2 linked regions of the Pelodiscus sinensis genome follow. Each later gene encodes a partner of the first gene's protein in a complex. Links are inferred from orthologs where the notes say so. Each region holds a gene or a part of one and is shown in the gene's direction. Other genes may lie near its edges. The genes, in order: LMAN1 and MCFD2.

Region 1 (12,563 bases):
CGAGACGGGAGCGTGCGGTTCTGCATTGACTTTCGAAAGGTTAATGGGATTTCGCAATTCGATGCTTACCCCATGCCACGGGTGGAGGAGCTGCTGGAGGGCCTGGGGAGGGCTAAGTACATCACCACCCTAGACCTATCGAAAGGCTACTGGCAGATTCCCTTGGAACCCCAGGATAGGAAGAAGACCGCGTTCGCCACCCCCTTCGGGCTGTTTCAGTTTCGCCGGATGCCGTTCGGACTCCACGGAGCAGCAGCGACCTTCCAGCAGGTCATGGACCAGGTACTGGAGCCCATGAAGGGGTACGCAGCAGCTTACATCGATGACATCGCCGTATACAGCGTGACGTGGCCAGAGCACCTCCAGCATCTGGAAACCGTGATGCAAGCGCTGCAGGAGGCAGGCCTCACAGCGAATCCCCGAAAGTGCCACTTCGCCCAACGGGAGGTGTCCTACCTCGGTTACACCGTGGGAGGAGGGCAACTGAAACCACTGTTGGGAAAGGTGGAAGCCCTTCGGAACTACCCGCCACCATCAACGAAGAGGCAGGTACGAGGGTTTCTGGGATTGGCGGGATATTATCGCCGATTTGTGCCGGACTTTGCCACGATCGCAGCCCCTCTGACTGAACTAACCAAGGACGCGCACCCCAACAAGATCCAGTGGACGGCACAAGCCGACCAGGCCTTCCGCGAACTAAAGCGCAGGTTAGTCCAAGCCCCAGTGTTGAGGCAGCCTGACTTTGAAAGACCATTCTCTTTATACACAGATGCATCCGAATGCGGTTTAGGAGCAGTACTGGCCCAGGACCATGACGGAGAGGAACACCCGATCCTTTACCTGAGCCGGAAACTCCTACCGCGGGAGAGGAACTACGCCACAATCGAGAAAGAGGCGTTGGCGGTGAAATGGGCCATTGAGACCCTAAGGTATTATCTATGGGGCAATAAATTCAAACTAATCACGGATCATGCCCCGCTTGTGTGGTTAAATTCCATGAAAAACTCGAACCCGCGCCTAACGCGCTGGTATATGGCATTACAACCCTACCGCTTCGACGTAGAATACCGAGCGGGAAAAAAACACCAAAACGCTGACTTCTTTTCGCGGGCGTTCGAGCCCGTGGGGGATGAGGGAGACCCCTCGGTAAGGGGGGGGGTGTGTGACGGGCCGGCCCCGGACCAGGGGCGAGGGGAGCGGAGCCCCCGCCGGCCGTCACTCTCCCGGGGGCGGGGCGAGCGGAGTCCTCACCGGCGGGGCTCTGCCGGCCGGCCGCAGACCCCCCAGCAACCCCACAACTCTAGCCGCCGGGGGCGGCAGGCGGGGGCGCTTCCCCCGCGCTTGCGCCGGCAGCCGATGGGCGGCCCCCCCCCCCGCCGGCCCACGCAGGGAAGGCGGGGCCGGGGCGCACGGCAACTGGCGAGGGCCGCCAGCGGGGGCGGGCCCGGAAGGGGCGGGGCCCCGGGCGGCGGCCGGCGCGGCGGGCCAGTTTAAAAGTGCCCGCCGCCGGAGAAGCGGGGCGCAGGCTCCTCGCGGCGGCGGAGGAGCAGCCCCCACCGCAGGACGGAGCGTGAGCGCCACACAGCCCGGCTGCCGGCCCGGCGCTGGTCCCGGGGCCTCCGGGACAGCCACTGCCCCTGGCGAGCACTCAGCCCCTCGCCAGACGGCAGGAGGACCCCACCGCGCCGAGTCAGGAGAGACCGGGACGGCCAGGAGCGTGCCAGGGCTGGAGAGCTCACCCCTGGGACGCCATCGGAACACGAGACACCACAGACCGCCGAGTCAAGGTAGGCGCCAGGGCGACGGGGATCGGACGGCAGACCCAACAGGAGGGAGGAAGGAGCCCGGGGCAGGGCGCTTGTGGCGGCCGTGGGTGGACGGGCCACAGGGGGGAGAATCCCCACCCCCCTCGTCCACCGTGCCGGGGCGCTAGCGGCCCCGGCGCTCAGGGCCCCGGGCTGGGACCCGGAGAGAGGGCGGGACCGGGTCCCCCTCCCTCCACACGGGGAGCGTCCAGCACCCGACAGCCACACTAACCGACTGGGACCAAACTAGAACCCCGGACTGGGGGAGGAGGACCTAAGGCTAGGGGCTCCGGCCCCCCCATCCCGCTCGGCGGGTACTCACGGCCTGGGGTTCGCTGACCCCCCCTTCTGGCTGGGAGGGGGTGATCGCACCCCAGGGGCCCGGACTCCACACCGGCGGCCCAGGGACGACACAGGACAAAAGGAGGACCAGAAGGGGTCCGCAGACCCCCCCTCTCGGACTGGGAGGGGGTGATCGCACCCCGAGACCCTCACAATCAGTCACAGAGGTTTAGTGTGTTCATAACATTGTTCACTTATTTTAGAAAAAAGGGAACACTAATTTACATTGTGTGAACTCCATTACAGTAGATATGTATATGTACTTTCACCAACTTTAAAAATGTTTACAAAGATTTTACAATAACAAAGGATTTTACTAGATTTACTTGGGGTTGCTTGGGTCCTTAACTCAACTAATTTTTGTTTTTCTTCATTTAAATAATTGCTCTGGGATGGAGCTGGGGATGAGGGGTTCTGAATGCAGGCTTTTCTTGGGAGAGAGGACTACCTCAGCCTTCTCTCACTGCAGCAGGCTGGGGCCAGGTGATAACCACCTCTCAATGGCCTCTGCAGTTCCAGCAGGAACATCCAGGGGAGAGATGCTTGTCCCTCAGCTGGGGCAGGTCCACATTCATCTGCCCCCTGTGCTCCCCAGCCAGATTAAGGAATGGAGCAAACTGTGCACTTTCAGACGAAAGGGAACAGCCAGCAATGTGGAAGCTGCATACCAAATTTGGCGGTCCTACCTCTTACCGTTTAAGAGGAGTTCTTGACAAATGAATGAACAGACAAATTCACTCTCTCAAATATATTTTTAACTAAATTACTTTTTTGCCCAGAGCTCACCCCCCTCCGCCCTGCACTCCAAACCGCTTACCCCCTGCCCCACCGCACAGTCTGCAACCCCAATTGCAACTTTCATCCTCTTCCACAGCTCAACCCACTGCCCCAGTCTGGAGCCTCCTCCCACATTCTAAACCCATTGGCCCCACTCCTCAGCCTGGAGCCCCCTCCTCCAAACTCTTCATCCTTGGCCCTACTCCAGAACTCACCCTGAGTCTACCTCCCCATCATCAGAACCTCACCCGGAATCGAGCCTGGTCAAAATGAGTGAGGATGGGAGAGAGTGAAGGACAGCTGGAGGAAGGATGGAGGGAGGGGGCAGGACCTACGGATGCTTGGCTGTCTGCAGTTAGAAAGCTGGCAACTCTATGCTGGCAACCAGGGATGCTGGTACAATGTCTATAAGTAGGGTTGCTGAGAGCCATTGAACCAAACTGTAAACACTGGATATAATAGAAACCACTTTGAGTCAGGGCATCCGCCAATGGAGTTAACACTGGAGATGGAAGGTGCATTTTTTATCTTTGCTGTTCTTTCCATTTGTATGTGTTTCTTATGGCTTTCAGGTTGTCTCTAACACCCTCCCCCATCTCAACTAACTCTTTCCCTTTCCCCCCAAAAAGGACATATTACCATCTTTAAAATGCAGCCTAAAAGACTGTGAAAGGCAGGGGTGGGTGGGTTCCTGCCTCTATAGCTAAAGGAAAAGGGCCCACGGGGAGCCATTAAAACAAAAGCCGTATTTACTGTTTGGATGCTTTCCAAAGCCTGTGATATTGTTTCCTTCTTTTCTGGATCTTTAATGAAACCTTGAGAGACTTTTTCAGGGGGTGTTTGTGATGCAACTGAGCAGGCAACACCCCTGCCCCTCCACTTTGCTGAACACTGTGTGAGGCTGGACAGCTCATCTACCCCAACAGGCCCTCCCCTCCATCGTTTCCCTCTCCTCATAGCCCCCCATTTGAGTCCGCCCTTTTCCAGGATCCCTCCACCTTCCTTTGCGGAGCCCTGCTCCTCTCCGGCTGTGTCTAGACTGGCCACTTTTTCCGGAAAATCAGCCGCTTTTCCGGAAAAACTTGCCAGCTCTCTACACTGGTCGCTTGATTTTCTGCAAAAGCACTGACAATCTACTGTCCGAAATCAGTGCTTCTTCCGGAAAAGCTTTGACGCTCCCCGTTCGGGCAAATGTCCTTTTTGCGAAAAACTGTTGTGCAAAAGGGCAAGTGTAGACAGCTAGCTAAGACGTTTGCGCAAAAGCAGGCTAAACGGAAAAAAGCTGTTTGGACGCTGCGAGACCCCGTAGACGCCCAGGACTTCCTGGTAACCTGAGCTCTTAAAGTAGCCGCAGGCTGCTTGCCTCAGACCTCTGGCCTGAGGCTTGCCAGCATTGCCCCTGCCGTGCCCAGCAGCCACCTCACAGCCCAGCATGGCAGCTCCGGGCACTCAGCCACCCGCACCCCCAGAGAAGGAGGCCCCCAGGGGCTGCAAAAGAAGAGCCCCATCGTGGTCCTTGGAGGAGCTGGAGACCCTCCTGGACCTGTGGGAGGAGGAAGAGAGCCTCCACGACACCCGGTCCCGGCGCCGCAACGCCGACATCTTTGGCCGCATAGTCCAGGCGCTAGCCCAGCAGGGCCATCCAGCCTGGAACCTGGAACAGGTCCAGGCTAAAGTCAAAGAACTTCGCCTGGGCTATGTGCAGGCCAGCGAGGGCCGGGGAGCAGGACCAGACACCTGCCCCCACTATGACCATCCACACCATCCTGGGACAGCCAGCTCCACAAGCCCCGGATGTCACAGCCGACACCTGTGTGCGCCCCCCGATCACCAGGACCACCACGACGGGGGAGGGAGACAGCAGCAGCAGTGCGCCGGAGGACGAAGCCAGCAGTGCCACTCAGCAGGCCCCCTCCGGCAGCTGCTCCTGGAAAAACCGCAGCATCACAACCCCCTATGACACAGACTGGGGGTTCCAATACATGGAGGAGGACTCTACTCCAGGGGCAGTCCTCTATGCAAACATACAATACGGTGGAGGCAGGGGAGGAACCGATGGGGCCCAAGCCACACTACCCTGTGGTGTCACCTGGGCTCAGGGGTGGGGTGGAAGGCATGGGGTGTGGGGACAGTGGCTGGGCTGCCTGACTGACCCGTCCTTTCTTCTCTTCCCTGCAGCGGGACCAACCAGGAGCGGGGGACCCTCCAGTCTGGCAGCAGCAGCACCCTCAGCCGCCCAACCACGGAGGCAGCGCGTCCAACACCGGGACCAGCTCCTGCGGTGCCATGTGCAGGCCGTCGAGCGCATAGAGGCTGCCATCCACAGGCGCACAGAGGCGGACCTGCAGTGGCGCCAGGAGGCCTGGGCCACCTTCCAGGAACACTGTGCGCTGATGGCAAACTCTGTTGCCAGCCTCTCCACACACATAGCGCATGCCATTCATTATGGCATGGCCTTGCCTCATGCCCCCGCCATCCCTCCCCTAGCACTGCCCCCGACCCCTCCTGCTCCTCCTGCAATGGCCCCTCCTCCTCCTGTCCCTGCCCCTCCTCCAATGGACACTCCTGCTCCTAACCCTGCCCGTCCTGCCCACCTCCCCGTTCAGCCTGCCCCAATGCGGCTTGCCCCCATGTCCAGGTCCTCCCCCGCAGGAGCGGTCGCAGGGGCCACCCCTCCCAGGAGTAGCTCCTTTCCCCCTCCCAGTTCAAGGTCCCCACTCTCTCTCCCCCCTTTGTAAATAAAAACCGACAAGTTTTTTGGGTGAATCCAAACATTGTGTATTGGGAGGTAAGGGGAGGGGAGGGAGAAGGGGAAGAGAGGGAGTTGTCCAGGGAAACCGAGGCGACCCTACAACGGGGCCTGTGAGAACATGTACAGAGAAGAGCGACAAGAATGATTAAAGGTCTAGAGAACATGACCTATGAAGCCAGGCTTCATGAACTGGGCTTGTTTAGTTTGGAAAAAAGAAGATTAAGGGGGGACATGATAGCGGTTTTCAAATATCTAAAAGGGTGTCACAAGGAGGAAGGCGAAAATTTGTTCCTCTTGGTTTCTGAGGACAGGACAAGGAGTAATGGGCTTAAAGTGCAGCAGGGGAGGTTTAGATTGGACATTAGGAAAAAATTCCTAACTGTCAGGGTGGTCAAATATTGGAATAAATTGCCAAGGGGGGTGGTGGAATCTCCCTCTCTGGAGATATTTAAGAACAGGTTAGATAGACATCTGTCAGGGATGGTGTAGACGGAGCTTGGTCCTGCCTTGAGGGCGGGGGGCTGGACTCGATGACCTCTCGAGGTCCCTTCCAGTCCTATGATTCTATGATTCTATGTCTTTGAGGGCCTCCTGGATGCGCACCCCATCATGGTGCAATTGCCCCGCCCCCTCCTGCTCCTCCTGCTGCCCACCTCCCCGTTCAGCCTGCTCCCCATGTCCAGGTCCGCCCCCGCAGGAGCGGTCGCAGGGGAACACGGAGGGCACGAGACATCCCAGAGGGCGGGGGGGGGGAGGCAACGTGAATGAGTGAGTGAGTGAGACAGGAGCCGAGGGCGGGCAACTAGGGGGCGGGGACAAGGACAGAGAGGCCCCGCCCCCGAGCCGCGCTGACATGTAGCCACGCGCTGCGCGCCCTTTGGCCGGGCGGCGGTCTCCGCCCCCTTCTCCTCGCAGCCAATCAGGCAGCGCCCTGTTGGCCGTGCTTGGCTCCCCGTGGCAAAGCCCAAGATGGCGGTCTCCATGGAGCGGGGCTGCCTGGCCGCGGGGAACGTGCTGTGGGCTGCGCTGTTTTGCCTGGGCTGCCGCTTGCTCTCCCCCGCCGAGGCCAGCAGCCTGGGGGCCGCGGGAGCGGTCACGGCCGGCGCGCAGCCGCACCGCCGCTTCGAGTACAAGTACAGCTTCAAGGGGCCGCACCTGGTGCAGGGGGACGGCTCCGTGCCCTTCTGGGTCCACACGGGCAGTAAGTACGCGCCGCTCCGCCGCCCGCGCCGGGCCAGGTGTGACCTGTGTCATGCCCGCCCCCGGGCCGGCTCCTGCCGGGTGGGGGGGCGCCTGCCTCGTTTGGCCCTGCCCTCCGCACTGCCGACCTCCTCCGGCTGCGGGGGGGTCTAGTTCCCTGGGCTAGCCCCCTGTGACTGGTCCCCTGTGGCCCTCGGAGACACCTGTCCCCCTTGGCACGGCCCAGGTGCAGGGGCACCAGGCTCTATGGGGACATGATTCTTACTGGCCCTGGGTGTGGGGATACCCCACGGAAACACATGGAGCTTATTCACCCTGCCTAAGGCTCCCTGCTCCCGCCAACCGGTGCAGACCCTGGAAGAGGTATGTTTCCATACACTCACTCCCTCCCTCCCTGCTGCCCTTTGCTGTGTTTGGTAGAACAGCTGGGTTTTGAAGTCTCAGTAAAAGCGGGTGAAGAATGCGGCGTGACTGTTTAAAAAATATTTTCTCATCACTGCACTGAAGCTTCAGCTCTATGTCATTACAATGTGTATCTTGTGTAATTGTAGTTGGCATTGGAAAAGGTTCAGAAAAGGGCAACAAAAATGATTAGGGGGTTTGGAATGGGTCCCATACGAAGAGAGATTAAAAAGACTTGGACTTTTCAGCTTAGAAAAGAGGAGACTAAAGGGGGATATGATAGAGGTCTATGCAAGCATGACTGGCATGGAAAAAGTGAATAAGGAAAAGTTATAAACAACTAGAAGTCCTGTGGCACCTTATAGACTAACAGATGAAAAGTTATGTACTTTTTCCCCCAATATAAGAACTAGGGATCACCAAATTAAATTAATAGGCAGCAGGTTTAAAACAAAAAGGAAGTTTTTCTTCACTCAGTGCAGAATCAACCTGTGGAACTCCTTGCCAGAGGATGTGGTAAAGGTTAGAACTTTAACACAGGTCTAAAAAGAGCTAGATAGATTCATGAAGGTTAGGTCCATCAATGGCTATTTAACCAGATGGGTAGGAATCGTGTCCCTAGCCTCTGTTTCTCTGTAGGTGGGTGACAGGGGAGGGATCATGTGTGGATTACCTGTTGTGATCCCTCCCTGTGGGGCCTCTGGTATTGGCCACTGTTGGCAGACAGGATACTGGGCTAGATGGACCTTTGGTCTGACTCAGTATGGCCGTTCTTATGCTGTATCCCAACTGGGCCCAGATTATTAGTGAAACAAGGCAGGTAAGATAAGGTGTGTTTCTTATTGGCCCAGCTTGTGTAGAGAGAGAGAGAGAGAGACGCTTTCAAGCTATACAGAGATCTTCTTTGGATTAGGGATGTCCGATAGCATGTAATTGAATAGTCATGTAACCACATCAATTTTTAGCGGTGACACAACCATTTGATATCCCCCAGGGATGGGGTCTGCAGCCAGTGCACTCTGGTCCCACTCCCAGAGAGCTCCCTGCCACCTCTGTGCTGTTACCTCTCTATCAGCTCCCCATGCACACTGACTCCGGCCTACTTCCCCATGCTGCTGCCGCCTCTGATACAGAGGCAGCAGTGCGGGATAGCAGCAGCCCCTGCCCGTGGGGCACCTGAGCTCCCTGTGAACAAAGGCAGCTTTGCAGTAGCAAGCCCTGGCTGTGGAGGGGGGTCCAAGCTCCCCAAGGACAGAGGCTGCTGCTGGGGAGCAGCCTCTGTCCATAGAGGGCCCCGGGCCCATCGCAGGCAGAGGCTGCTCCACAGCAGTCTGCCCTGCCCTTTCCCCCTCTGGCTGCTGACTCTCAAATAGGCAGCAGCCCTGGAAGCGGGGGGGGGGAGTGGCGGCGGCACCTGCCTATCCCCCTCCCCCTGCTGCCTCTGAAGGAGGCAACAAGGGGGGATGGGGCAGGACAGGCGGGTCAGACAGGTCCATGGAGCCAGCACATGTGGAGAGACAGCTCCCCTGTGGGCACTAGCTCCCCCCCCCCCTTGAGGCAGCAAGTGTGTGTGGGGGGGGAGAATGCGTGTAGTCGACGGGATTAACCGATAAACCCAGGATTACCAGTTAATGGTGTAGTCATCTACACATTGATATCCCTACTTTGGATCTGGGAAAGGTACTCACAGCATTGGTGCTAAATGTACGGCGGAAAGGATAATTGCATATGTAACATATTTAGAAGGATCTTAAATTCATAACTGTATTATGGTGCTTGAAATATCTTTCCCAGATCTGAAGAGCTTTGGAGGCTCAGAAGCCTGTCTTTCACCAGAAGAAGTTGGTTCAGTAAAAGATATTACCTCACCTCCCCTGTTGCTCTGGTAAATATGGTGCCATTTGTGGCAGGGTGGAACATCAAGTCTTGTAAAACAATTTAATAGGAGAGGGACTGATGCAGTATAGTCAAATCCTTGGAACGAAACTTTTCAAGATACTAAACTGTTCAAGATAGTCAAGACAGAAGCAGACTGTGAAGAACTTCAAAAAGATCTCACAAAACTAAATGATTGGGCAACAAAATAGCAAATTAAGTTTAATGTGGATAAGTGTAAAGTAATGCACATTGGAAAAAATAACCCCAACTATACATATAGTATGATGGGAGCTAATTTGGCTACGACAAATCAGGAAAGAGATCTTGGAGTTATCATGGATAGTTCTCTGAAAACGTCCACACAGTGTGCTGCGGCGGTCAAAAAGGCAAATAGAATGTTAGGAATGATTAAGAAAGGGATAGAAAATAAGACCCAGAATATCTTACTGCCCCTGTATAACACTTTGGTATGCCCACATCTTGAGCACTGTGTGCAGATGTGGTTTCCTCACCTCAAAAAAGATATTTTGGCCTTGGAAAGGGTTCAGAAAAGGGCAACTAAAATGATTAGGGGTTTGGAACTGGTCCCATATGAGGAGAGGTTAAAGCGACTGGGACTTTTCAGTTTGGAAAAGAGGAGACTGAGGGGGGGATATGACAGAGGTATATAAAATCATGAGTGGTGTGGAGAGGATGAATAAAGAAAAGTTATTCATTATTTCCCATAATTTAAGGACTAGAGGACACCAAATGAAATTAATGGGTAGCAGGTTTAAAACTAATAAACGAAACTTCTTCACACAGCGCATAGTCAACCTGTGGAACTCCTTGCCAGAGGGGGCTGTGAAGTCTAGAACTATAACAGAGTTTAAAGAGAAGCTAGATAAATTCATGGAGGTTAGGTCCATAAAAGGCTATTAGCCAGGGGGTAGGAATGGTGTCCCTTGGTTCTGTTTGTCAGAGGCTGGAGATGGATGGCAGGAGACAAATCGTTTGATCATTGTCTTCAGTCCACCCCCTCCGGGGCACTTGGTGCTGGCCTCTGTTGGCAGACAGGCTACTGGGCTAGATGGACCTTTGGTCTGACCCAGTATGGCCATTCTTATGTTCTTCTTATTAACTAGGTGTCTGGTCAGTACGGCTATAAACAAATTGGGATTTCCATATGCCATTTCACAAGGGTAGCTGGTGACTTCAGCTGTCTTACTCTTTACATATGCTTTCCTCATATGTATTGCCTAACAGAAATTTGGTGCTAATGGATTATCTTTCCACGTATTATTATTTAATTAAGCCTCACAGTGCACCTTTTAGGCAAGTAGAATCTTGCTTCACAATTGTGGCAGAGGTAAGGCTAAAACTACTGATCTATAATTAGTCATCTAAATAAGTGGCTTGGCTCTTAAAAGGTATGCTGAAAATCAAGCTACTAGTTCAGGTTCCTCAGCTAATTATTTTGACATGACTTGTTCAAGGTCAGTACCAAGCCCGTTAATAAAGCCAAGTGTCAATAACCACTTGATAATGTTCCCATTTCCTATTTTGTCTTCTATATCAAACACATGTATATGTTTAGTTCTTTGACTATAGAGCAGGATTTGGAGTTTTGGGTTTTTTTGTCTCTTCTATGGAACAAGTCTTTGGCCTCTTCTTTGAACAAGTCCCTTACATGCTCTTTAGGTTAGTTGTAAAATTAGGACAACATGAGTCTGAGGGGGATGTTTAGAAGCCTTGTTAATATTCAGAGTGCTCAGAGATATTTTTACTAGGAAGTATTATATGAATATATAGGTGCATGTTAAAATATGAAAACCATATCTTTATTATGGGTTAAATATAAAAGTATTGCTTTATAAGTAAAATTACTTCATTGTCAAACAAGTTTATTTACTATATGATATGAAGCCCTTTCCAGCTTAATGTTATCAGAAAAGTGTTCTTTGTACTATTACGTCATTGATACATAAACACGAAATTAAAGGCAGATACTTTACAGAAGAGTGACTATAGTGGATCAGACCAATGATCCATCTACCCCGGTGTCTTGTCTCTGACAATAGCCAGTGCTAGAAACTGCAGAAGGAATGAATGGAACAGGGCATTTTCAAGCAGTCCATTTTCTGAAATTCAGTTCCAGCTTTTGGTAGCTTGAAGTTAAGGGGCACCCAGAACATGGGGTTGTGTCCCTGATCATCTTGGCTAATAGCCATTCATTCATCTGTCCTTGAGCTTATCAAATTCTTTTTTTGAACTCAGCGTGACTTTTGGCCTTCATAACATTCTATGGCAGTGGTTCCCAATCTTTTCCAGATGGGGACCCATTTTGACAATGCAGGAAGACTCGGTGACCCAGGGCAATTTAAAAAAAGTGTGAATAGCTCCTTAAGAGCCACCTGGGGAGACTCCTGGCGACCCTTTTGAAATGTAATGGTGACCCATATTTGGGTCCTGACCCATAGGTTGAGAAACTCTGTTCTATGGTAACAAGTTCATAGGTTTTCTGTGCTTTTGTGATGACCTACTTTTTTTGTTTTAAACCCGATATTGTTTTAAACCCATTGTTTATTTCATCTGGTGACCCCTGGTTCTTGTGTTATGTGAAGGAGTAAATAACAATTCCCTGTTCATGTTCTTCATGTCATTCATGATTTAATATACGTTATATTGTGTCCTCTGAATAGTCTCTCTGAATGTTCCCAGTCTTTTAATCTCTCCTTGTAGCCTCTAGCCATGGCAGGCCTGGGTGCCCTGAAGGTAGGGATTGCTTTGGTGTCCGAAGCAGCCCCTGCCTGCATGGGGAGTCTGAAAACTGACCATTTATTCCTACCCTTTGTTTCCTGTCTTTTAACCAGTTATTGATCAATGAAAGGATCTTCCCTCATATCTCATGACTGTTAACTTTGATGCAGGATCTTGTCAAAGACATTCTGAAAGTCTTTGTACACTATATCCACTGGATATACAATCCTACATGCTTAATGATGCCCTCAAAGAATTCTAATAAGCATAAATTTCCTTTCCAAAAATCATGTTGACTCTTCAAATTGCATTCATCTATGTGTCTGACAATTCTGTGGTTTTCATTTCATTTCAACTATTTGGTACAGAGGTTAGGTTTACTTGTCTGTATTTGCTAGGATTGCTTCAGGAGCCTTTTTTAAAATAACTTTTCATTAGCTGCTTTCTAGTCATCTGGTACAGTGGCTGATTTAGGCATTGGGTTACATATCACAGTACTTCAGCAATTTCATTTCGAGTTGGTTCAGAACTCTTCAGTAAATACCATCTCATTTTGGTGACTTAGTATTGTATAATTTAATCAATTTATTTGAAAACCTCCTCTATGGACACCTCAATATTGAAAGTTGTTCAGAATTGTCACCTAAAAAGAAAGATATGAATATAGG
Region 2 (12,047 bases), on another chromosome or scaffold:
CACATAGTTGATAATTGATGTCTGCTTTGTTTAAATATTTGTTTTACTGGAAACACAATGGCTGCATCTAGACTGGCATGATTTTGCGCAAATACTTTTAACGGAAACGTTTTTTCATGCCAGTCTAGAAGCAGCCTATGTAACTTTATATTATTACTCTTATTTTGCTTCACAATTAGCACCTATCCAGGGGTCCAGGATCTTCTGCCCCTTTCTTCCCCCCTCCTCCCCCGCCCCATCACTTTGATCTGCCCACTGAGCATCCTATATAATTATTTATAATCTATTGTTTGGCAGTGTTCACTGAGTTCTCACAAGCGATGTGACACTCTGACAGTGCTGTGTGTGTAACAAACTCCCTTGCTTGCTTCACATACAGTGTCCAGATTCTGTTCCTTCAATATGCAACCACACTTAAATTGTGGCCCTTGGCATGTGCTGTGAGTATCACTGTGGCTCCTGGGGCTTCCAAAATTGAGTAGCCCTGACCTAAGTGCTTAAATTCCATTCCTGCTAGGTAAGTAAACAGTGCCAGAACAAAGCTTTTGAGTGCTCTGCAGTACTTAAAAAGAAATATGTATGCACGTGCGCTCGCCCACACATGCAAAACCACACACGAACACACACACTAGGGCAGGGAGCTGGGAATGAGATGGAGGGAAGAATCATGGTTGGGGGGGTGAGGAGGGGCAAAGGGCAGAGGGGCAAAGGGTGCAGAAGCAAGGGCAGGAGGTGGGGGGCAGCTGGTGGCTGTTTCCCTGGTGGTCAGAGGGGGTTGGGGAAGAGAAAAGGCCCCTGGTGGGTGGAAGGGTGCTGGGCGCGGGGGAAGGCTCATGCCAGATGGGCCCCCATGCCCTGAACCCCTCCTCATTCCAACCCTCACTCTCACACTGCCCCTGCCCTGGCCTCCTACCCACCACCTACCCACCCATCCCCAAAGTGCTGCCCTGAGTCCCACACACCACCAGTCCCATGCCATGAAGGACCTGGAGAATGTCAGGTAAGTCTGTATGGGTATGTCTACACTTGCTCCCTATCTCGAGATAGAGATGCAAATGTAGTGTACTGAAATTGCTGATGAAGCACAGTATTTAAATATCCCGTGCTTAATTAGCATAATTGCGTCCATTTTGAAATCGCATTATTGCAAAATGAAACGCCCCGTGTAGTAACGATTTCAAAATGGCAGCTGGACGCAATTATGTTAATTAAGCACAGGATATTTAAATCAATATCAGTACACTACATTTGCATCCCTATCTCGAGATAGGGAGCAAGTGTAGATGTACCCTATGAGAGACAGAGAGAGTGTATGTATCTCTCTCTCTCGTTCCTATCACAATTCCATCACTTTCCATTCCAAGTAGAGAGCATACTTATCACAAATAAAAGCACTTAAAATGACCCCCTACCTCCCACCACAGTTTTCCTGGCAGAGAATTAGCAAAGCTACCACAAGTGCTAGGGGCTGCAAGAATGTGCCAGCCACCTCTGGGAGCAGCATGGTGCCAAGGCAAGCAGGGAGCCTGCCTTAGCCCCACTGCACTGCCAGTTTTTTAGCAGTTTAAAATCTCCTCTCTGATTCTGGGAAACTTATGGCAAAACTGTATTTTTTAAAAAATACTATCTATTGATTACTTCAGTATAATGAGTACTTTCTGTTCTCCCAGTAATGTGTGTGTTCTGGACTAAAACATCTTAAAATATTGAGATCTATTTCAATCCGGAAGTAGGTATTAAAGTGAAAACAGGAAGCACCCGTAACGTATCTAGTACAGGCAGTCCCTGGGTTACGTACAAGATAGGGACTGTAGGTTTGTTCTTAAGTTGAATTTGTATGTAAGTTGGAACTGGTACATATTGTAGGGGAAACTCTAGCCAAACGTTTCTCCAGAGCTCAGTTTTATTCTCCCACACCTCACTTCCCTCAGTCCTTTATTCTCAAGCTGAGGTGTCTGCTGAGAAAAAGCTGCTCCACGTCTCCCTGGTCTGCTGGGAGGGGGGGGGGGGGGGGGACACTAGCTTCGCGTCTCCCTGGTCTGCTGGCGGGAAGCAGTTAGTGAGGGGTTGCCTCACCCTGTTTGTAAGTAGGGATCCGATGTAAGTCGGATCCATGTAACCCGGAGACTGCCTGTACTGAAAAATGGAAACATAAGAACCATTAAATAATTTAGCCACAAAAAGTAAAGTAACATACTGTTTTTTTAAGTTGTGGTTAAAATTTTTGAACCCAGAACAGTCTCAGTTTTGCTGGGCAAAGAAGAAAATTCTTTTGGTGTGGAATGTTTCCAGGCACACAAGATGAAATGTACTTTCTTTTAAGGCCTTCTCACATTCCTACCTATGTACTAACAAAGATATTTTCAGACACATAGAAAGTTGCATTGAGCATTTAATTGGTTTACAAAAAATTACGATAGCAAGTCCAACAGAGCTAAATGTTTGAATGAACATCTGTTTCAAATCTCTGATCCACTTAAGAGTTCATCCATCTCTATAGGGTTTTACTGATCACCCAGCTTTACACTGTCACTCCCAGTTCTGAAAATTAAGTAACATTTCTGTCAAGAGCAAGTTCATCAAAAGTCAGTGATAGTGCTATTGCAATGCTGGTAGACCAGGTGCCAGCTCATAGATGGTGAATGAATGGCAGCCCTACCCCTTCTGGCCAAGGCTTTACCCTTTCTGTGCCCACTGAGCCCAATCCAGCCCCCATTGTAACTCTTGGCCCCTGTTCCCCAACCACATAGCTGTTCAGCTTTAGGGCCCCCCACAGCAACTACCTCAACTGTCCTATGTACAGGCTTTGCACAGGATGGCAACAGGAATTCCCCCTCCCCGCACTCACCAGGATGGCAGGAGCCAGAACAACCCAACAACTTGCTCTGCGCCACTGCCCTCTCCCAGCCTGCTGTGCTCAGCTTCACCATGGCAGCAGGAAGCAGAGTGCCCAGGTCCCAGGATGCTCCACTTCCCACTGCCACAGAGAAGTGAGGTGCAGCGGGCTGGAAGAGCAGCATGGAGGAGTAGAGCAGAGCAGGCTGGCTGCTCCAGCTCCCACCACGGTGGTGAGAGTTGGGGGGGAGAGAGAGAGCAACCCCTGATCCGAGTCCCCAGTAATCTCCTGGCTCAGCAGGGAGCAGAGTAGCAGTGGGAAGAACCACAGCATGGGCAGTGAAGGGGTGGGATCTGCAGAAGGGTTGAGCTGGGCACCATGCCTAGGGCACTGGGAGGAGGGGTTGCTCCAGGCCCCATGTTCCTCTTGGGATGGCCCTGCGCAGCTCCCACCCACCATTGTGTCTGCTGGCTGGTTCCTTCCTGGCTCCTGCCCAAGTCTAGCATGTTCCACATCCCAGAGTGGCAGGTTGCCAGGCAGAGCAGTCTCTACCCCCCTCCCGAGTTGGGTGATTCCATAGCCCCAGCTTTCCTGGTCTTGGAGCACCGGGTGGCCACCAGCCTCAGTGCTGGGCCTAGAGCAGCCTGCTGTACACAGGAAGAAGCCTGACATAAGGCAGAGTGTAGGCAAGGCCACCATGTCTGTTTGGGTAGGCAATGCCTTCCTTTGCCTTCGTTCTCTGACACTCATATCCCAGCTCTCATGAAGGTCCCCATGTCTCCACTGAATGATTTATACATAGCTGGAATGAGTTTGACTCAGCTGTGTGTTAGTATTAGTAAAACAGGAATTAGAATTCTAAGAATGTGTTTTGACTTTATGTGATGCTTGTAAGTTGCTGCACTATAAGGTATAAAGTAATATTCACTATAAGGTATAAAGTAATATTTCAGCATTTGTTTGGTAACCCCTTAGATCACCAGCCAGAAAAGTGACATTAACTAGTATGAAGTGCTGATATCCCACAGAAGATGTTATATTCTGGCCAACAAGAAAGGCCCATCAACAACAGATGGAATAGCGTGGAACATTAAAGAGGACAAAAAACTATGTTTACTCTTTCCTGTCCCAAAATATGAAGGGGCAAATGGGGGGTTAGGGTTAGGGTTAGGCCTCACATCCTCCAAGGTACAGCCCTGATCTCTACATAGCATATAATAGGACTGGATGTAAGCATTTTGGTATGAGAACTAAAGTACATCTGCCAGTGGATAAGTGATTGATCCTTTGGGCTGTGGAGAAACCTAAATATTACCCCAGGGGGTAGCTGAGTTTGTTGGTTTTTTTAAGTTTTTCCAGTTACAGATTAATAGTATTGCAGCACCTTAGATACTACTAAAACAGGTAGATGGTAACATGAGCTTTTGATAGCACAACCCACTTCTTCAGATGAATGGCTAAATATTGCTGTGATCTTTGGTAAGGGACCATCTATCACTAAGGCATGCTTATTTGGGTGGCAAGACTAATCTGAGTACACCACAGACTGACTGCATGTTAGGACTATTATAGTGCCTGAGGAATTTACACTTGATAAGTGGTGAAACAAAATCTAAGTATCAGCATTCCAAATTAAAGTGGAGGTTGGACCCTTTTCCTAACAGTCTGCCCCAGAGAGAGCACTAATACTCTTGAGACAGGGCAGCCTTGAAAGCTATATGTTAGATCTGATTTTTCCTCATTACTATATCTGGCTCATTAATGAGCACTAGTCAATAAAGCTGGCCTAATAACAATGTGATGAATGTTTACAAAAGCAAAATGACTGTACAGATTTCTTGAGATAGGCAACATTCCTAGAAGAGACAGGGAGTGGACTGGTACAATGTAAACACAGGGGCATAGAAAGGCTATTAAGATACTGAAACAAAAAACAGGACTATGTAGCACTTTAAAGACTAACAAGATGGTTATTAAGTGATGAGCTTTCCTGGGCCAGACCCACTCCCACAAAAGCTCATCGCCTACTAAACCATCTTGTTAGTCTTTAAAGTGCTACATAGTCCTGTATTTTGTTTCAGCTACACCAGACTAACAGGGCTACATTTCTATCACTATTAAAATACTGGTATAAGAAAGCAAATAACATTGGGGTCAGAACAGAAGCAAACCAAAGTGCTTGCTAAACACACTCCTGAGCTGCCATGCGGAGGAGGAGGCGTTTCTAGAACCAATGACATAAACAAGCCCCCTCCCCCACGTGCAAACACACACAAAGTGTGAGGGAGAAAAATTCCGCACGAGAGTTGAAAATTGCCCCCAAACCTAGTGCTCCCCCCCCTCCACCCGCCGCGCTACAGAACCGGGACAGCGGCCTCGACCAAGGCACTTGTTCAACCAGGGCCACGCGCAGGGAAGCCCCCGCCCGACTCGTGGGCGCTGGCGCAGCAGCTGAGCGAGCCGGACGCTGCTCCTGTCCCGGGCCCCTTTCAAGTGGCCGGGCGTGTCGCGCTCCAGGCAGCGCTAGGCCTGACTGTCTCCGCCCCGCCCCTTCCGTCCGAGGCCCCGCCCCTTCCGGGACGCAGAGCCACGCCCCCACACCTCAGCTGTGGACCTTGCTGCCTGGGATGCATTTTGTGGGGGGAGGGGCCAAGGAGAGGCCTGGAACAGGCTCAGGGCAGGTCTATTTGGAAACCATGGGAGAGGAGGCTCTTACAGGACTCCCCTCCTGGGTGAGCTCCAAGCCCCGCCCACTTGACCACCGACGCATTGCCGGGGGCGGTGCAGCGAGAGGCAGAGGCCGATGGGGGCAGGAGTCACGGAGGAGGCGGGGCACATGGAAGGAGCGTTTCATGCTGGTCACCTGACACACTCCCGCCCCCACCCCCACCTGTCCCTTCATTTTCGTTACACGTGGAATGTCCAGGAGCCTTGACGTTCTCCCAGCTCTGGCTGGCGAAAGCCAATGAGCGGGAGGGGGCGTGGCAGGACGCGAGCGTGCGTCGGGTCAAAGATGCGCCTGGGGACGGTGGCCGGCTGGGTCTACTCCCTTGCGCACCTGCCTGTGCCCCGGTGCTGTGCCCCGGGACGTTGTCGGCTACGCAGCCGGTGAGTTCGGGCCGCGCCTCACATTGCGGAGCGTCGCGGGCGGGGCGAGTCGGCACCTCCCCCGCGCTCGGAGACGCGCCCCGGCCGCGCTGAGCTCGGCTGCGATGGGTTTGCGGCCGGCGGCGGGGGCTACGGTCCCGCGCGCCCCGCCACACCGGGCGCTGTCACGCAGAGCCAGTCCGGCTCCTTGGCAGAGCCGGCGTAATCGCGGGGAGACCCGGTCGCGTGAGGCGCGCGGCAGCGGGGCCGGTAGGTGGGGGCTCAGGGCCCTGGCGTGGGGGCTGTTTGAGGGGTGTCCGGTAGCCGAGCAGGGCTGCAGTAACACGTAGATGGAAACGGGCAGCGGGCGCAGGCAATTAACTGAACCTAATGACCCTGCAGTCACCGCTCTCCTGCCTTCCAGTCTCTTTCCCTGCTAATCGCTCGTCAGTTGCACAGCGGCTGGGTGGGGAGGCTGTGGTGCTTGTTATTGTTTTACAAACCTTCAGCTCATCCCAGTGAAGGGCTGGATGTCAAGTACGTTTTAAACTAAACTGTTGTAACTGGGCATCTACCTTGCAGATTATCAGGAGCTGATGTTCAGGACTCTTCTTAAAATTCTCTGCTGGTGGAAGTGAATTTCAAATCAGGGGAGTTATGTCTGCAGAAAACGTGGCCTTCTCTTATCCCTAATTGACAACAGGGGAAATTATTGCAGAGAGGGTTTGAAAATTGCTCCTAGCATGTAGTGAATTAGTGTCAGAGAACAGTAGAATTCAGGAATTCCTGGATCTTACATCTTGTCTAAGGTGGGTTTTTTTTAAAGCCTATATAGTTAGACCATTCTGAAAGGCTTTATGGGCACTCTTATTTCAGTATAAAATGATTTATTTCGGTTAAGCTGTTCCTGAGTGACAGAAATCAGTCACTCATATCCTAAGTAATAATTTGCATCACTATAAATTGCACCAGTATACAAGAGAAGGTGTGAATTTAAGTTGTTACACCTTACACTGGTGCAAATCCATATTGGGTATATGAGTATATAGCTACCACTGCTCATGGGGAAAGGGGGGGGCGAGCATCTCCTGCTGACAGCTGTCTGCACTATCAATTCTGTTGGTATAACTTATGTCAGGGCAGGGAGAGGGAGCAGTTGGTGGTTTTTTTTCCCCCACTCCTGAGTGACATGTGTTATGGGCAAAGTGCTGGGGTAGTTATAGCCTTAATTTCTTAGGCTATGTCTACACTGGCATGATCTTGCACAAGAACTCTTTTGCAGAAGGGTTCTTGTGCAAAAACTCTTCCAGAAGAGAGCATCTACACTGGTATGTGCGTTTGCGCAAGAGCATCCATGCCAGTGTAGATGCTCTCTTGTGCAAGAAAGCTCTGATGGCCATTTTAACCATAGGGCTTTCTTGTGCAAGAAATTTGTTGCCTGTCTACACTGGCCTCTTGCGCAAGAACAGTTGCGCAAGAGGGCTTATCCCCGAGCAGGAGCATCAGAGTTCTTGCACAAGAAGCACTGATTTAATACATTAGAATGTCAGTGTACTTGCGCAAGAACTCGCGACCAGTGTAGACAGGCAGCAAGTTTTTGCGCAAGAGCAGCCGCTTTTGCGTGAGATCGCGCCAATATAGACACAGCCTTAGTTAAAAACAGCTTTAAAATAAACCAGTGCAACTCTCTTATATAGACAAAGTACTGACCATGTTGCCTTTCCAATCTGTAACTTTTTCAGTCCAAACAAAATTCACTAACTGATTTGCTGCTGTGCTATATCATGTATTAATATTCTTTCAGAATACTGTTGTACCTGTGGCACTACTGGAGTGGTGTCTTGCTTTGTAAATGAGTACCATGCCATTTAAGGAATTGCACCAAAGTAGTTAGTAAATTGCAGTCTTCAGGCTTGTGGGATTTGTTCTAAAATAAATGGGTTCAGTTCAACTTTCACTGAGCAAGTACAGTGACTATTTTAGTGTCCTGGTAGGAAAAGTTTCTTTTTCCCCTGCTTTCTTTTTTTTCCTGTTATCAAAGACAAAGAAGGTAGTTCGGAAGGTAGTTGTGGAAAATATTTGATCCATTTAAAATGCGTAGCTAATAAACCTAATATTTTCATAAGTTATGCAAACTCTGTATAGCCTCCTGGCAATAGTCCATAGAGTTGTGAAAGCTGACACTAGTATTTGTATTTCTGGATTTACAGGGTGACCTGCTACTATCACATTTCAAGTGGTGTTAAATCTTCTGACAAACAAGTGGAATAGCAAACATTTCTGTTTTAGACCTGATTTGTTATTAGGCATTAACTCTTCAGGGAAACTTCTGCAAAAGGAGATCAGTATTGTTTCATGGTAGTGTTCATTTTTATAACTTGACTTAACACTATTCTGTGTTAATTAGGATTATGTGATAGAATGCATTTGTGCTCTATTTTCACCTATGTTAACTTCCATTAGTTATGACTTTAGTGATTTATACCCTTTTCATGAGAGAGGAACATTGAATGCCAAGAGTCTAAATAGTGTACCATTTTTATACACTGATTACTTATGTTTTGTCGCAAAATATCAGAAACATAAGCCTTGTTTGGGTAGTGGCACTACACGTTCAAAATAGCCACTTTGTCATTGGACAGAGCCACAAAATAATTGAAACAAAGACTGCAATAATATATAAACTCTGAACAATTTTATAATGCACTGTTGATTAAGAAGATTCATCAACGTAGCTTAATGAAACTTAGCTTCGACTATCACAATTCTATCATTAAAACTAGGACTTCTATAAAGAAAGAATGTTCTGCATTAAACTGGTATCTGAGCATTTCCACTGCTGTTTTGTTTTTTAAATATTTCCAGTAGTGCTTATGATGTCATGCCCCACTTTCATTTACATCTAAGGGAGGCTACCTAGTTGGACTAGGAAGGTCTGTAAGTTTAATTATTATTATTTTTTTTTTTTTTTAAGGAAAATACTGTAAAATGCATCTAAGTGAAGTTGCTATGACTATTTGACTAAAACAGGGCTACTCAACTTTGGAAGCTCTGGGAGGCCACAATGATACTCTCAGCACATTCTAAGGGCCACAACTTAAGTATGGTTGCATATACATGCAAATAGCTTCTTTCACATTGATGGGCATGAATACAAAGTGCTATCCCAGCACTCCTGGCAGCTTCTCCCAGGGGGCTAGAAGCACCAATACCCTCTATGCCTCTGTTCCAGCCAGCCATCTGCTTGCGCCTTTAAGTGCTCACCCCATCTGGGAGACACCTCACTGTTGTGGAGCATGTTCCCTGTGGAGGCCATGTTCAAAGAATCCTGCCCATGGGCTGCGTGTTCAGCCCTGCGTAAACCCAAACCGCACCACGGGCCTCATGCGGCCCGTTGGCCATGTGTTGAGTAGCCCTGGACTAGACAATATTTACAGAGTCAAGTAATTTATTGTGGATTTGTTCTCCAGAAAGATTAGCAGCTGCACAGCACATACTACATTTTCAAGTTGGGAATCTGAAAATTTTTGCATCCTACAATTTAATGGAGACTTCATATTTCCACTGTGCTTATTACATTGAAAACATTGCATTTCATTGAATGTATTTATCATATGTATTAATATATGTATTTTTCACTTGCTAGGAGATCATGATGGCCACAAGGATGTTGAGCACATATTTGCTATTCTGCCTAGTGTCTGCATTCTTAATTTCCTCTGTAGCTGAGGGTCACACAGAGGAGACTCATCAAGCAAATATTCGTCTTGATAAGAGCCTAGTACAAGACAAAGAGTATGTTCTTTGTATTCTGTAAAACTTGTATTGCTCAGTGATTCATTTTGAAGTTGGACTTCAATATATCAGGGTTGCCCTCCCTACATGGCATAGAAAAACTCAGTCAAAATTATCTTTATACACTGTTTTTCCTTGTGTATATTGGCCACAAAAACATTGGGGGGGGGGGGGGGGGAATATGCATCATGAACACTTACACTGTAAGATTCTTGTCTTCTCTCTACAGTGGTTAGAAGAGCCACATCATATAAATAGGCCCTAAAGCTGCTGGTGGGGAAGGCTTCATCCAGCATTGATTCTGTGGAAGACTCTCATAAGGAGATACAATTGCCTCCCAAGGCTAATTTAGACAGGCCCCCAACACTGTCTAAATTATGGCAGATCTCTTTAGATCCTAGCATACCATGATCAGGACACAATGGTGGCTTAAAAACACCATATATATGTAGATTGGGAAGAGGGGGAGAGGAAAAGTTTTTGATGCCAGTTTTTGATGCCACTTCTCTAACAGACTCAACATAGAATCTCATCCAAACTGTTGTAGATTAGTTCCTTGAGCAAAGAACTGTTAAATATATAAATAGGCTTTTATATGTTAACTGCTGACTTTATTTTGTATTTTCAGCCACATCATGGAACACTTAGAAGGTGTAATTGACAAACCAGAATCTGAGATGTCCCCACAGGAGTTACAGCTCCATTACTTCAAAATGCACGATTATGATGGCAATAATTTGCTTGATGGGTTAGAACTTGCCACTGCTATATCACATGTACATAAAGAGGTGAGCAGTATTTATAATTGCCCCAGTGGCTCTTCAAAACAATACGTTCTCATAAGTAATTCCAATTAGAATATGCATTTTCTGTACAGTCAAATTAATTTTTAATGTGAGTTTTTGTTTTTATAAAAATATAAATTTAACCAGGGTAGATTTTTTTTTTTTAATCTCCAAAAATATTGATTTAAATCAAATTTCCCTCTAATAGTACTTACATTTCTTAAACAGTGGTGCAGATCTGATCACTGCTGGACACTATAGCATTTTACAACAGCTAAGAGGGTGTACTTATATTTTGATTTGACTTTTTTATTAATTTAAGAAATAGTTCACCATGCTGTATCTGCTACAGATGCAGTAGCAGTACATTAGGAATGGCAATAATTAAATCATGCACACACACACTGATATACAATTTAAGATTTAGTTTAATAAAATGTTTCACATTTGCAGTTGCAGCAGTCTCCTGAGTTGCCAGCTGATGGCTGTCCTTAAACTTTTTCAAATTTTATTAACTCTAACAGACCCAGTCCTCAGAACACTAAGTGTACAGTGCCCTTAAAACTTGAATAGCAAACTCTCAAAATGACAGTGGGAGTGGGGAAGATGATTCATAGACTGAAGCAGAAATATGAGTTCCTGCTTTAACTCCCAGTCTATTTCTTAGATTTGTGTGACTAATACCAAATGATGACAGTATACCCTCTCTGACTGCAGAGGAAGCTACTACTGTGAAAAGTTAGCTTAGCAACTGAAGGAACTCTGTTTCAAGGTGCCTGGCTAATGATTCGTGCCAACTCAGGGGAGAGATTTTGTTCAAAACATCAGTAAACATGTACTGATATGTGGTTTTGCTCCTGTCTTGAAACTTATTATGACTGGCATAACTGAGGGGTGGGTGGGTGTGGTTTGTTTTTTTTGTTTTGTTTATACACCCATGCCAAGGCAGTATTAGCATCTTCAGAAGTTAGGCATCTACCTTTTCTATCTGGGATTAAGAGTTAACAAGAGAATAAATTTTACTGCCTGTAGTTTAATTTTTCGATGAGGTATTTCATCATTGTCTCTTGAAGTGCCTTCCAAACTTTGACAGCATCAACAATGCAGCTGCAGCTTCCCTGGAGTTTAAGGCTGTGGATAAGAGATTTCAGTATACTGCGCATATCCACTACATTCCTTTTTAATCCAAAGGTAGATACTTTGAATGAGATACTTGTATCTAATCCTGGTTTTCCTTCACAATTTTGTGTGACCAGGCCAATTCTTAATAAATTATTGAAAGCAATCACCCACAGGCTTCCATCAAACATTTTGAGGGAGAACTAGTTCGGATCTGCCTGCTCATTATAGTAAAACTGCAGTAAAATGGTTGTTTCAGAAGTATTTTGTGACTTCATCAACATTTTCTTTTCTGCCTGAAGAAGACATACATAAGTCTTTGGCTAAAAGATGCACTAAATGAGCACTGCAGCCATATGTTGTTAAGGAGCATCCTTCCCTTTCTTCTAAGTATCTTTTCATCATTGCCATGGTTTCTCCCCCCC

Evidence for each region.
Region 2: the proteins of LMAN1 (region 1) and MCFD2 are in contact, whole or in part, in a cryo-EM structure (PDB 8JP5), measured with the Homo sapiens proteins. The link is inferred for Pelodiscus sinensis from reciprocal best matches to the Homo sapiens genes LMAN1 and MCFD2. Residues at the interface, in NP_005561.1 of Homo sapiens: His43, Arg44, Arg45, Phe46, Tyr48, Lys49, Ser51, Phe52, Lys53, Pro55, His56, Gln59, Ser60, Asp61, Val64, Pro65, Phe66, Trp67, Lys96, Phe265, Glu273, Lys279, Glu280, Ile281, Glu285, Lys286, Tyr289, Glu292, Phe293, Phe296; in NP_001164977.1 of Homo sapiens: Val59, Ile60, Asn61, Lys62, Gln70, Glu71, Leu74, His75, Phe77, Lys78, Tyr82, Asp83, Asn86, Asp89, Gly90, Leu91, Glu92, Thr95, Thr98, His99, Val100, Leu111, Glu114, Leu117, Ile118, Ile121, Asp122, Leu125, Asp129, Lys130.

Annotation. Positions count from the first base shown.
Region 1 is NC_134716.1:109,310,931-109,323,493, forward strand, and holds the start of LMAN1 (protein ERGIC-53), read left to right. Parts: upstream 1-6,575; 5' UTR 6,576-6,645; coding exon 6,646-6,877; intron 6,878-12,563. UniProt on the Homo sapiens protein: Mannose-specific lectin. May recognize sugar residues of glycoproteins, glycolipids, or glycosylphosphatidyl inositol anchors and may be involved in the sorting or recycling of proteins, lipids, or both.
Region 2 is NC_134713.1:163,909,170-163,921,216, forward strand, and holds the start of MCFD2 (multiple coagulation factor deficiency protein 2), read left to right. Parts: upstream 1-5,737; 5' UTR 5,738-5,944; intron 5,945-6,559; exon of another isoform or gene 6,560-6,732; intron 6,733-8,133; exon of another isoform or gene 8,134-8,278; coding exon of another isoform or gene 8,279-8,281; intron 8,282-8,788; 5' UTR 8,789-8,856; intron 8,857-9,569; coding exon of another isoform or gene 9,570-9,575; coding exon 9,576-9,718; intron 9,719-10,346; coding exon 10,347-10,506; intron 10,507-11,576; coding exon of another isoform or gene 11,577-11,687; exon of another isoform or gene 11,688-12,047. UniProt on the Homo sapiens protein: The MCFD2-LMAN1 complex forms a specific cargo receptor for the ER-to-Golgi transport of selected proteins. Plays a role in the secretion of coagulation factors.